Linked DNA regions of Danio rerio. The protein of the gene in region 1 binds, or shares a complex with, the protein of each later gene. Links are inferred from orthologs where the notes say so. Each region holds a gene or a part of one and is shown in the gene's direction. Other genes may lie near its edges.

Region 1 (3,653 bases):
TAAGGTAACTGGTTTAAACAATTTATATGGGCTCATTTTAAGCAAACAAATTAAGTTGAACATTACTAAATGTAATTTGTTTGTTTAAATTCTGCCCATATGCTTTTTTTTTACTAGTTTGCATGTTACCATATAAATTTAGTGTGTTATTATTTCTGTTCTCTCTATATATCATGAAACAAGGCATTCTTTAATTTATCTAGATGCAGAGAGGAAACTACAGAAGGTTCAAGAGTCTGTACACTGCAGAAAAATCATCACGGCTTGGCGTCATGTTGTGCAGGACGCTAAAAGAACAAAGGAATACTTTAAGGTATAATTATTAAAACAATCAGCTAAACCCAAATGCATTGAATTCATGAGATATTCAGCTATTATACATGTCTGTTCAGAAACTAGAAAGAGATATGAAGGAAAGCCAGAACTCAGGCATACCACAGGGTGATGGACAGGACAATCTGTCACTGCTGCCCAACAGGCTGTTTCTCAAGGTATCATTTGACTACCACTAACTGTTAAATAACTGGCAAAAACGTACAATCAGCTGTGATTGAAATGAACCGTTTGGTGCAGATCTTCCAAAGTCTAGGTGTGCGAGACCTGCTGAAATGTGCTCAGGTTTGTCAATCATGGAAAGCAATCACTCAAATCAGCTCACTGTGGACTGAGGTTAGTGCAGCTGACCTAAAAACTGTCAAATTTTCCCTTTAGAATTTAGAAGTGCATGTTTAATATTTGTATACATAAAATCTTTAAGAATATAGTAAAAGTATATAAGAAAATCAACAGATTTGCCCTTTTTTAAACACAATGATGTTATATTAATAATTATATTAAAGCATATTGTGTACTTGCACTTGAAAGTGTTGTTTCATTTGTGACAATGCATGAAAATATAAGATGCTCATTAAATACAAGGCAGATTCAATGAAATGTCAGTTAGTAATGCTTTAACATCACCCTCATTGAACCCTCATGTTCCAAATTTAAATTACCTTCTTATGTGGAATTAAGGTAAAAGCTAACAAGATTTATTTCCCATTGAACTCACAGACAAAAAATATTATATCAATTGGAAATCAAAATGAGGAAATTTTTATGGTAAAACTTAATGTTGTCTTGACAAAGATTTCTAAATTTTTATGTTGTTAGATGTTAGAGAAATTATTAACATGAATTAGTATGTTTGTAACATGATTTAGCATGTTGTTTATTTTATAACAAGCACTATTACTGTATGTTGCTAGCTAGACTTTTGTTTGTGTGCCTCTCACATGAATTAGCATGTTGCTCGCATATTTCAAACAACAATCTACATGTTTCAAACTTAAATATATGTATCTAACATGAACTGGCATATCTTGTTGTTAGCAATTAGCATGCTGTTACCATGTTTATAATTTAAAATACCATCTTTCTAATATGAATAAAAAGTATTAGTATGTTAACTATGCTTTATTAGTGAATTTGCATTTATGCTTCTAACAATAAGCTAGCTGCTAATGTAAATTCCACTATACTGTTAGCACAAATTAATTTCAAGCATAAAGTTGATAGCAAATAACATGTCTCCAGCATAAATTACAGTGTTATCCAGCAAGCATGTTTCTTGCATGGTTAGCACGTTGTATGCTAGTTGATAGGCTTTTCTAGTTTGCAAGTAGCTTAAGATCTGAAAGTTAAAGCCTGGCAATGAAAGTCTTTGGGATTTCTTTATTTTGAGGATCATTTAGAAGTTATATTGCATAAACATGTTGATCAGAATGACTGTCTAATGTGAGTTTGGTAGTTTAAGCTTCAAGTTTTAGGAATACTTTAAGACCAGACTTTTATAAATGTTAACTCAGAAGAAGACGAATCAAAAACTATCCTGTAATCGATTTTTTGACGTGTTTTTATGCAAATGTAAGATGTCAATTTGATGTTGTTTTGACAATAAGGTACTTTACTGTACATGCATTGTAAGGATACAATCTACAATCTACAATATAATCCAGTGTAATCATCAGTGTGTAGATGTCAAATGGACGCATTAGCATTGTTGCTGAGTTTTTTAAAATGTTGTTTATGTCGTTTTGACATAGTGTCGTTTGCTAAGTGTGCTAAAGGCTTCATATACAGTGTAACCTGTGAGATGTATTTCCACAGATTGATTTCTCTCCAGAGAGCAGCTGGATCACAGATCAGATGGTGGAGAGAATCCTGCGGCTTCACCGTGTTTATGTGATCTCTGTAAACCTGTGTGGTTGCAACATGGTGCAAAGACTAAGTTTCAGACGCATCAGTACATTTACCTTCATTTACCAAACAACTGCATTTATTTTCTGCTTTGTTAACCTCATAAAGATACAGAATACTTTTGTTTTTAAAGGTCAATGCAGGAATCTTCAAGAACTGGATCTCAGTGAATGTCCAACTGTTAATGCAAGTATACAGTTCATAGTCTTAGGAGTTTTCTGCTTATTTAATTTTCGGCTCTTCAAAACTGGCGTGTGTTTTGTTTGAAAACACACTGACAGGATGAAAATATGAAGATGATTTTAGAGGGATGTCAGTCTCTCCTCAGTCTTAATCTGGCCTGCACTCACATTGCCAACGCCACAATAAAAGTCCTGGCAAGGTACAAAAGTCTTATGTTTCTCAGATCTTCAGACTGTACTCAACAATGACTGAAGTTTTTTTCTGTACTGAATGTTTTTAGTAGATGCTGTGTGATGCTGCGGTCTCTGAATCTGGCATATTGCATTCATTTCTCTGATAAAGACCTGCAGTATCTGACCACAGGGACGGGTTGTCGCAGACTCCGCCATCTTAACCTCTCCGGTTGCTCCCAGGTTAGTTTTGACTTGCAAACTATTCTACTGTATCATTTAAAAAAAGTATCTTAGGCTTTCTATTAGTTGGTGTTATTGGTTATATGATGCAAATATACAATATATTTAATTTACTACTACATGATTATAAATAAAGGTACCCAAAAGTTAGTTTTTCAAAGTTATGTCATGTCCTCTAAGAAATACTTAGTTAGTCAATCCTATTTTTATTACACATTTAACTACTCTTGACTTTATCCCAGAGTGATCAAATACAGTTTTCATTTTGTACTTTTAGATAACTGTGGATGGATTTACATGTGTTGCAGAGACTTGCAATTCACTTCAACAGATTGTGTTGAATGATCTTCCCACCTTAACTGACATCTGTGTGCAGGTAAGTGTTATTTATTGTGGCCCGAGAGAGCTTAACGTGCTGCAACCTAAGAAGACACATGCGAATAGAAAAAAATAAATAAATAAATACCGGCAAATTAGGAAAACATCTTAGTCGGTTTGACACACATTGCAAAGCCTCACTACAGAAACATAAATTAATATTGTACTGCAAATCCTCACAATGCAAACACAAATAGATAAACACGCTGTAAATTGACAGAACAAAGATCAAGGTCCATAATAAAATTCATAAACATTACAACATTTGTAAAACACCTGTGAATTACAAAATTCGGACACCAGATAAATAACAGATATTTGTTTTGTAGTGTCAGACAAAATTATATAAAAATATTCAACTCAGTGATCTTAAATAAGCTTTTGCCACAAATATTCTAGCGGTACTATTAATTTCACTTTAAAATACCTAAAGTAACACTA
Region 2 (4,393 bases), on another chromosome or scaffold:
CTGACTGAGGAAAGTTGAATGTGCTGGCCAATTTGTTACATAAGTGACAATAGACAACAGTTTTTGTTTAAAACTTTAACAGATTTTTAAAAAATTATAATGAAATATGATGTAATAAATTTGAATATTAAAAATAAATATTTATTCATATTTCTTTATTCTAAATCTTTAGCAAATATTTTGGTAGCCTACTTTAAAAATTGTAGTTATAATGACCAGCCGACAAGCTAATCCAGCTAAAACGCAGCCTTACACTATCCCTGCTATAAAAAAAAAAACAAAAAAAAACCTAGCATACTGGTAAGGTATGTATTGTTGCTGGTATGCAGGTCTTGCTGATTTTAATGCTGGTCTTGCTGGTTTCAATGCTGGTTTTTACTGGTCTCGATGCTGGTATTGCTGGTTTTAATGCTGGTTTTGCTGGTCTCGATGCTGCTCTTGGTGTTTTTAATGCTGGTTTTTGCTGGTCTCGATCCTGGTCTTGCTGGGTTTAATGCTGGTATTGCTTGTTTCAATGCTAGTTTTGCTGGTCTCGATGCTGGTCTTGCCAGTCTCGATGCTGGTTTTGCTGGTCTCGATGCTGGTCTTGCTGGTTTCAATGCTGGTTTTGCTGGTCTCGCTGGTTTTCATGCTGGTCTTGCTGGTTTTAATGCTGGTCTCGATGCTGGTTTTGCTGGTTTCAATACTGATTTTGCTGGTCTCAATGTTGGTTTCAGCAAGACCAGCATCGAGATCAGCAAAACAAGCATCCATACCAGCAAAACCAGCATTGAAACCTGCAATACTAAATATGTCTTTATAAGCATATGTTACAACTAAAACTCTGTCTGTCACAACTTGCCCCACAGGTGGGGTAAATAGTATTTTTTACTCCTGGCACTTTTGGCAATGCACATACGTCCGGCGATCATACAACCAGTGCTCATTTGTAGGAGAGGCTTGTGTGTTGTTGGTTAAAAATATGGTTTGTCTAACCATATATTTTATATTTGGCCAAAACCAAAAAGTGTTACACGTCCCCCGCTCTCCCCATACCACATGTTTTTGGACTTATGGGGGAACCCGGAGCACCCAAAAAACACACTTACGAAAACACAGGGAGAACATGCAAACTCCACATAGAAACGCCAACTGACCCAGCCGAAGCTCGAACAAACAAACTTCTCGCTGTGAGGCGAACTACCCACTGTGCCACCGTGCAGCCCAAAACTGAGTATTGTAGACAAATCTACTGATTATAAATCTTAAAAGGGTTACCTATAAAAATACCTAGAAGTCCTGAACATTACCAATGAACAGCATGTTTAAGATAAAGAAAAACAAAATAAGTCAAAATGTCAAAATAAGTCAGTTTTGTCAATAAACCACCTTCTAGCAGACAAAAAATGCATGGAAAACTGGTCAAAACATGATGTTCATGAACGTAAATTAATTCAGTCTGTTGTAAGAACAGCCAGCAAACGGAGCGGATCTGTGTGTACAAGACGTGCTGTCATGACGACGGACGCTGTTGCTACAGCTGCACGTGTAGCGTCTTCTTCACGGCTGATTTGCCTCTTTGTTTAGAAGGATTAAAAGAAAGAAACCTTTTAATTTTATTTATATATTTATCTAAATTTCTATATAGCCCAAATCAGCAGTATGACGTCCGTGGAGGAGCTCAGAGCGTGTGCTTTGCTGCAGGATTGCGCTGATCAGCTGTCAGTGTTAGGAAATATTATACGCCCCGGAGCGGAGACTGTGAGTAACAACATCAAATTTAGGACATTTAGTAATCTGCTTCCTGCTACATTTGCTCGGTTATGCCCGATATGCTTGTTAAATTATGTTTTATATTTAGTGTCATGGCCAATAATTATTGGTGAATTAAACAAAGTTAGGATTTGTTGGTTGATAGGCTATTATATGATGTTGTTGCGTTAAACATTATTTTAAACAGTTTCAAGTCATGAAATTATTTTTAGTAGGGTAGAGCGGGGCACAAAGTAACACTTTTTGGTTTTGGTCAAATAATTGGTCAAATTCACAGCTGTCACATCCATAACGACACTTTTTTCTCATAATGCAAAAATGTCAAATAAAATAAAATCAATTCAATAGTTAGCCGACTCATATCCGTTTGATTATCATTGTTTCTTTTGGGTTGTGCAGTTTAATTAACAGAATTTCTACAAAGTCTTATGAAGACTAAACTCCCAAACATACTAAACTCTCATATATATATATATATATATATATATATATATATATATATATATATATATATATATATAGCACATTATGAGGAGGTAGCACTGGTGATCATTTAACCAGTGCTCATTTCTAGGTGAGGCGTGTGTGTTAAAAAAAAATCAAAAAAATTATATGTATATATATATAGTGCTGTAAAAAGCTAATGCGTGTACATGTAATTTGTGCATGTGTTTAAATGTGACATTCTGTAGTGCATAGTTATTGTCCAGTATGCCCACAACGTCATAAAAAAATTATATTATGTTTGATTTAGGTTGTGATGTCAGGTGACCAAAATTCTATGTCTTGCCAGTGTCTAAGGACGTTATTTTGATATCCAATAATGACGTCAAATGACGTTGATATTTTATCGATTGTAGCTTGTTAGAAAGAGACCAAAATCCACAGCTGAGCCAACATCTTAAACCAAAGTCATATTAACGTCAAATACTGACATTTATTCATCAGGTATGGCAACCAAAATCCAACGTCTGTGTCACCGACTCGGTCCCAGTCATTCCCCTCGCTGACCAGCAGAGGTCACCATCTCCGGACTTCTAACCATTACGTCATCCATTCACCCTGATCCCAGCACACCTGTTCTCCATTCCACTAATGACCCACGTACCACATATAAGCAGCTCACACACACACTTCAGTGCGAAGTCTTGTTTAGCCCCGGCCAGCATTTCTGAGCGTTCTATCCTGCCTGATCTCCCGTTTACCACTTCAGCCCGTTTCACGACTCTGCTCTGTCTTCTGCCTGCCCTCGACCAAAGCCTGTTTCCTCGGACTCTGATTCTCGCTGCCTGCCCTCGACCAAAGCCTGTTACATGGACTCTGAATCACGCTGCCTGCCTCTGACCCAAGCCTGGTAATCACTCTGCGTCTGTTATCTGCTAAACCTCCTTTGATGTGTATGTTGTATGTCCGCACAGCCGTGCGAGTTGTTGATGTTTAAGTGTGACTTAATAAATACTGCAAAATGGATCCCTCCATGTCAGTCTCCCCGTTACAGAAGACTTCGCCCAACACGGATCCCGCAGCCATCCAGGTTTTGTCTCACGAAGTCACAGCACAAGCTCAGGTATTGTCTACTTACCAACAACAACTAACACATCTAACTCAGTTAACAGACGAACTGGTGAAATCCCTACAAAACCTGCAAGCTGCTGCCACTGCGCAACCCACCGCCAACTACTCTCCAAGTCCACTTGTTGTTGCACAACCCCCGATGACTTCCGGAGTTCGATTGGCATTCCCTGACAAGTTCTCAGGTAACCCAGCAAAATGTAAAGGCTTCCTACTGCAATGTAAACTGTTTATCGCCCAACAGCCCCATCTGTTTAAGGACGAGAATGGGAAAATTGCTTTTGTGTGCTCACTGCTCACTGTAAAAGCGCTAGACTGGGCTACTGCAGTTTGGCCAGACAGTACCCCGATATTTCCCTCGTTTAATGACTTTCTCAAACGTTTCTGCACTGTGTTTGATCATCCGGAGGGTGGTCGCAACGCTGGCGAGGAGCTACTGTGCATCCAACAGGGAGATCGCTCCGCAGCTGAGTTCGCACTGCAGTTCCGCACCTTGGCAGCGCAAACTGGCTGGGCTGATGATCCGCTTACCACGCTCTACAGAACGGCTTTAAAACCAGAATTGCAGAAAGAGATGGCATGTCGTGACGAGGGAAAAACACTGGATCAACTAATCAAACTTTCTATAAGGTTAGACACTCTCCTCCGCACTCGCAATCCACTGTGCTCAATTGCTTCCAGTCCTGTATCCCCTGAGACCTCCGCTGAACCCATGCAATTGGGTAGAACCCGCCTGAACCCAGAGGAGCGAGAACGACGGAGAAGAAATCACCTGTGCATTTATTGCGGACTTCCAGGTCATACGAAGGTTTTATGTCCCCACAAGCCTCTCCCTAAAACCGTCTCGGTGAGTGCAACCACTATGTTCACTACCACTAATAATGTTATGAATTTGCCTGTCATTCTGAGAAACAATGGAGATGAAATTGAGACTATGGCCATGATCGATTCAGGAGCCGCTGGCAACTTTATTGATTACACGTTTGCCACCACTCACTCCATTCCCTTAACCTCCTGTGATTCCTCCATCGCCATCACTGCTGTAGACGGGCGCCCTTTGGGAGAGGGA
Region 3 (4,269 bases), on another chromosome or scaffold:
CATAGTTTCAAACTTTAGTTTACTATATAGTTTGAAATAGAAACCATGGTAACTGTTATGATTTAACTTTATGCAAAGAGCTTACAATGACCAAGAGCAACAGACCCGGATTCCGCCATTTTGAAGTGATAGCGATCGCTCGTCATTGCTGTCGCGATGGAAAGCAGCTGCTTTGTTTTTATTTAATTTATTCAAAAAGCGCGTTATTGTTTCCCAAATTGTAGATTGTCGCCTCATGGTAATTCTATGCTCTTCTGTGTCTGACTGTTGTGATGTTTTGCTTTGTTTTTCAGCTGAGATTTTGAGCAAAGAAGGACTATTGAAGACAACAGTTGAAGACAACCGCGGGTTATAATCACGAGCGCGCGCATTATAATGTTTTCGGGCTGTTTTCTGAAAGTGTGTCTTTGTTTAGATAAGTTTGCATGTCAAACTAAATAAACTATACTCTTTCTAAACACCTGTCTCGTTTTATTTGTCCTCTACAGCAATGCACTGTCATATAGGTCTGTTGAATGCATTTGTATGCAACATGGTTTGACAATACAGTAGTCTAACAAATAAATAGTTGTTATAAATGTACCTTCATTAGTCAACATTTGATGTTATGTTATGATTGTTATACTATATTTATTATTATTAATATGCTGTATGTTTAAAACCAGCAAATTATACTATATATTTAACATGTCATAAACTTACTGTTATTTTAACATTTGCCAAATAAAATGTCCTAAGACAAGAATGGGTGTTGTTTTGGTTTTGTGTCAACCTACTGTAGGTTTTAGGTTGACTACAGCAAGGCTACATACATCATAGGGAGTTTTTTTATAACGGAATAAATATTTCACGGAGATGATTTTACTGCGTGAGAAAACTGATGTGTGGCGTGAGAGCGTGAGAATACGGTCAATTGCGTGACTTTCACGCATTTTGGCAACTCTGAAATATTAGTGTTTGGACTATGTGATTATTTATTACTATAGCAGGTACTATTTAGCCTATATATTCTCCTGGATTGTATAAGTGCTTCTGATTTTTATTTAACACTGACATATTTATACACATAGGTAATTTAGACATGTACTCTTTATTGGTGCTTTCAAACGAATAATCGCGTTCATGCTTGTACAAAGGATGTATAAAAATGTTCCTTACATTCTTCCTTTTCTTCTGTTTTTTTAGTCAGTACTGAACTTTCCCCTTTTGTGAGCAAAAACTTTTGCTAGTCTATAAAAGATGTTCGGCATTTCTTATTTTGGTCGATTTAAACAATCATAAACAGCATAAACAGAAACATTTTTTTAAACTTCTGAAAGCGGTTCCTACGTAGAAGAACCACTTCCTGCCCTCCGTCTGAATGGCGAGTGTGTTCAGGTTACCTAGCAACCAGGGTTTTAGACATGGCGGACAAGTATAATGCAGGTAAAGATGCTACACGTAAAATGCTACGCTTTTTTTACGTTTGTGGGCTTACTGTATGCTTATTAATGGTGTTTGTATTCTCAGCATGACGTGTTTTTAAATACAGTTGCCATTACTACGACTGTTACCAGATCAATGATGTTTGAAAAGTTTTCAGTAACGTTGTTTGTTAACGTCGAGTAGTTAAAGTAACAGTAAAAGACCACACAGACAGCGAACATCTACAGCTGAATTGCTTTGTAAACACACACACACAAAATAAAATAAAAATGCGGAAAAACACAACGTTAATTAATGTATTTTTTATCAGAAAATATTATAATAGAAACTCAAAAGAGGATTGGGAATGCCTTTGATGTATTTGACCATGAATCCAACAAGACTGTTGATGTCAGGTAACGTTTCACTACGCTGTTTTTCAAAATATATTAGACCATTTGTTGATGTCTGTTAGCTTTGTTCTGCACATGTTCTACAAACAAGGAAGACTTCTTTAATGTTATCTGTCATTTTTCACCGTAAAAGGGAAATAGGCACCATCATTCGTTCACTTGGCTGTTTTCCTTCAGAAGCTGAATTGCATGATATCATCTCTGAGGTCAGTGGTTTTGTTTTGCCGGGTCATAAAATGCATCGCTCTTGTAAGTTGAGTAGATCAATAGTTATGAAGTGTCATTTCATTCACAGCTAGAAGAAGAAGAACCCACTGGATTTGTGCGCTATGAGAAGTTTCTTCCAACTATGACTAAGATCCTGCTGGAGCGCAAGTAAGACTGTAATGAAATAAAACAGTATGAAACCCAGATTATTCTTAATGTTTTTAAAAGGTCACAGACTGATAAATCACACAAATGCATCTATATATTTATATACAGTCTAACTCAAAATTATTAGCTGTCCTGTAAATAATTTTTTCTTACTCAGTTATTTTTAAATTGATATTCAACAGAGCAAGGATTTTTTTTTTCTTCTAGCAAAAGTCTTATTTGTTTTATTTTGGCTAAAATAATGGTCTTTAATAAAAAAAAAACATTTTAAGGTCAATATTATTAGCCCCCTTTAGCAATATTTATTTTCGATTATCTAGAAAACAAACCATTATTATACAATGACTTGCCTAAATACCCTAACCTGCCTAATTACCTTAATTAATGTAGTTAAGCCTTTAAATGTCACGTTAAGTTGAATACTAGTATGTTGAAAATCATCATCATGGCAAAGATAAAATAAATCAGTTTGATGTGTCAAATGAGTTATTATAACTATTATGTTTAGAAATGTGTTGAAAAAATTCTTTTCGTTACAGAAATTGGGGAAAACATTTACAACGGGGCTAATAGTTCAGGAGGGCTAATTATTCTGATTTCAACTGTACATGGATATATAGTGCTAGAAGATGAAGCCAAAATGTCCAAGGTATCAACTTGCACGGATCGTATAATTCCCACAGTTCCTACACACCCAATTGCAAGCACATAATGGCATGCATCCAAATAAAAGCAAACTTATTAAAAAATGTTCCGTATATACATCAACAATTGATGTAACGAGAAAACAAGGCGACACAGTGGCGCAGTGGGTAGCACTGTCAGCAAGAAGGTCATTGTTTAAAGCTCTGGCTGGGTCAGTTGGCATTTTTGTGTGGAGTTTGCATGTTTTCCCTGTATTGGCGTGGGTTTCCTCCTAGTGCTCCGGTTTCCCGCACAGTCCGAAGACATGTGGTATAGGTGAATTGAATGAACTAAATTGGCCGTAGTGTATGTGTGTGAATGAGTGTGTGTGGATGTTTCTCAGCACTGGGTTGCAGCTGGAAGGGCATCCGCTGCATTAAACACATCCTGGATAAGTTGGCGGTTCATTCTGCTGTGGCGATAAAAAATAAAGGGACTTAGCCGAAAAGAATGAATAAATAAGAAAACATTAATTAAACGCTTACCTTCTCTTCGATAACATTGAGGGAGCAGGGCTTTTTAAAATGTTCTGCAATCAATGACCAGAGAGCAATGGAAATATTTGGATTTCCCTTTTTCTATATTTGGCCTGTGTGAGCCAAAATCTCACTAATAAAATGTGTTGTCGTGTCTAAAGCAGACAAATGTTTTGCCTCTACATGTAGATGTGCTGGGGGTGGATTTAAACAATATGCAAGTTAATCGGCCGCTCAGGGCCCCAGTTAATCTGAGGGCTCCCAAATAAATACCTAGAATTATAAATTATACATATAAATATTATATATAACATTGCTTTCTATCATATTTTCCCCTACCTTCAATCATGGACCAGTTCAGCTGTCAAATCAGTAAAGATTTAGTTTTAAAAAACGAAATTGTTTATTTATAGTGAATTTATCTTAAGAAAACAAATGATTTAAAAAGTTTTATAAGGTGCTTTACATGTTATTATTATTTTGCATTAAGATAAAATGTAGAAAAGGAGATTGATTGATATAAGAAATAACAGCAAAATAATAATAAAAAAATTAAAGTACAAAAGGTGCCTTTTAGAACTTTTGGGTCTAATGGCTGGAACAGCTTAGGGCCCCAAAATCACTAAATCCATCCCTGAGACGTACAGTATATGACTATAAGTGTTTTAACATAATTTGCAGTACCTGTAAAAACTTAAAACTAAAATAAAATAAACATTTGATTAAATAAATATTTACTTTGCTAAAGTTTTTCCCACAATAAAATTTAATACAAAGCCTAGTATTAGTGATAATTGTAGCTCTGCTTCTTTCTTTTTTCTTGCAGGTTTCGTCCTATTACAGAAGACCTGCTCATACAGGCTTTTGAGGTGAGGCTGTTTTGTTTTTTAATTTTTAATGTGTGAATTTACCTTGTT

What was found.
Region 2: fbxl13 (region 1) and drc9 share a complex: the UniProt entries of both Homo sapiens proteins name them as parts of the nexin-dynein regulatory complex. The link is inferred for Danio rerio from reciprocal best matches to the Homo sapiens genes FBXL13 and DRC9.
Region 3: fbxl13 (region 1) and drc8 share a complex: the UniProt entries of both Homo sapiens proteins name them as parts of the nexin-dynein regulatory complex. The link is inferred for Danio rerio from reciprocal best matches to the Homo sapiens genes FBXL13 and DRC8.

The regions. Positions count from the first base shown.
Region 1 is NC_133200.1:19,757,543-19,761,195, reverse strand, and holds part of fbxl13 (F-box and leucine-rich repeat protein 13), read left to right. Parts: intron 1-203; coding exon 204-313; intron 314-392; coding exon 393-491; intron 492-573; coding exon 574-669; intron 670-2,148; coding exon 2,149-2,424; intron 2,425-2,519; coding exon 2,520-2,620; intron 2,621-2,701; coding exon of another isoform or gene 2,702-2,704; coding exon 2,705-2,834; intron 2,835-3,111; coding exon 3,112-3,210; intron 3,211-3,653. UniProt on the Homo sapiens protein: Substrate-recognition component of the SCF (SKP1-CUL1-F-box protein)-type E3 ubiquitin ligase complex.
Region 2 is NC_133193.1:29,337,697-29,342,089, reverse strand, and holds the start of drc9 (dynein regulatory complex protein 9), read left to right. Parts: upstream 1-1,501; 5' UTR 1,502-1,641; coding exon 1,642-1,740; intron 1,741-4,393. UniProt on the Homo sapiens protein: Component of the nexin-dynein regulatory complex (N-DRC), a key regulator of ciliary/flagellar motility which maintains the alignment and integrity of the distal axoneme and regulates microtubule sliding in motile axonemes.
Region 3 is NC_133192.1:12,696,756-12,701,024, forward strand, and holds the start of drc8 (dynein regulatory complex protein 8), read left to right. Parts: upstream 1-1,387; 5' UTR 1,388-1,403; coding exon 1,404-1,425; intron 1,426-1,735; coding exon 1,736-1,820; intron 1,821-1,950; coding exon 1,951-2,023; intron 2,024-2,112; coding exon 2,113-2,192; intron 2,193-4,178; coding exon 4,179-4,221; intron 4,222-4,269. UniProt on the Homo sapiens protein: Component of the nexin-dynein regulatory complex (N-DRC), a key regulator of ciliary/flagellar motility which maintains the alignment and integrity of the distal axoneme and regulates microtubule sliding in motile axonemes.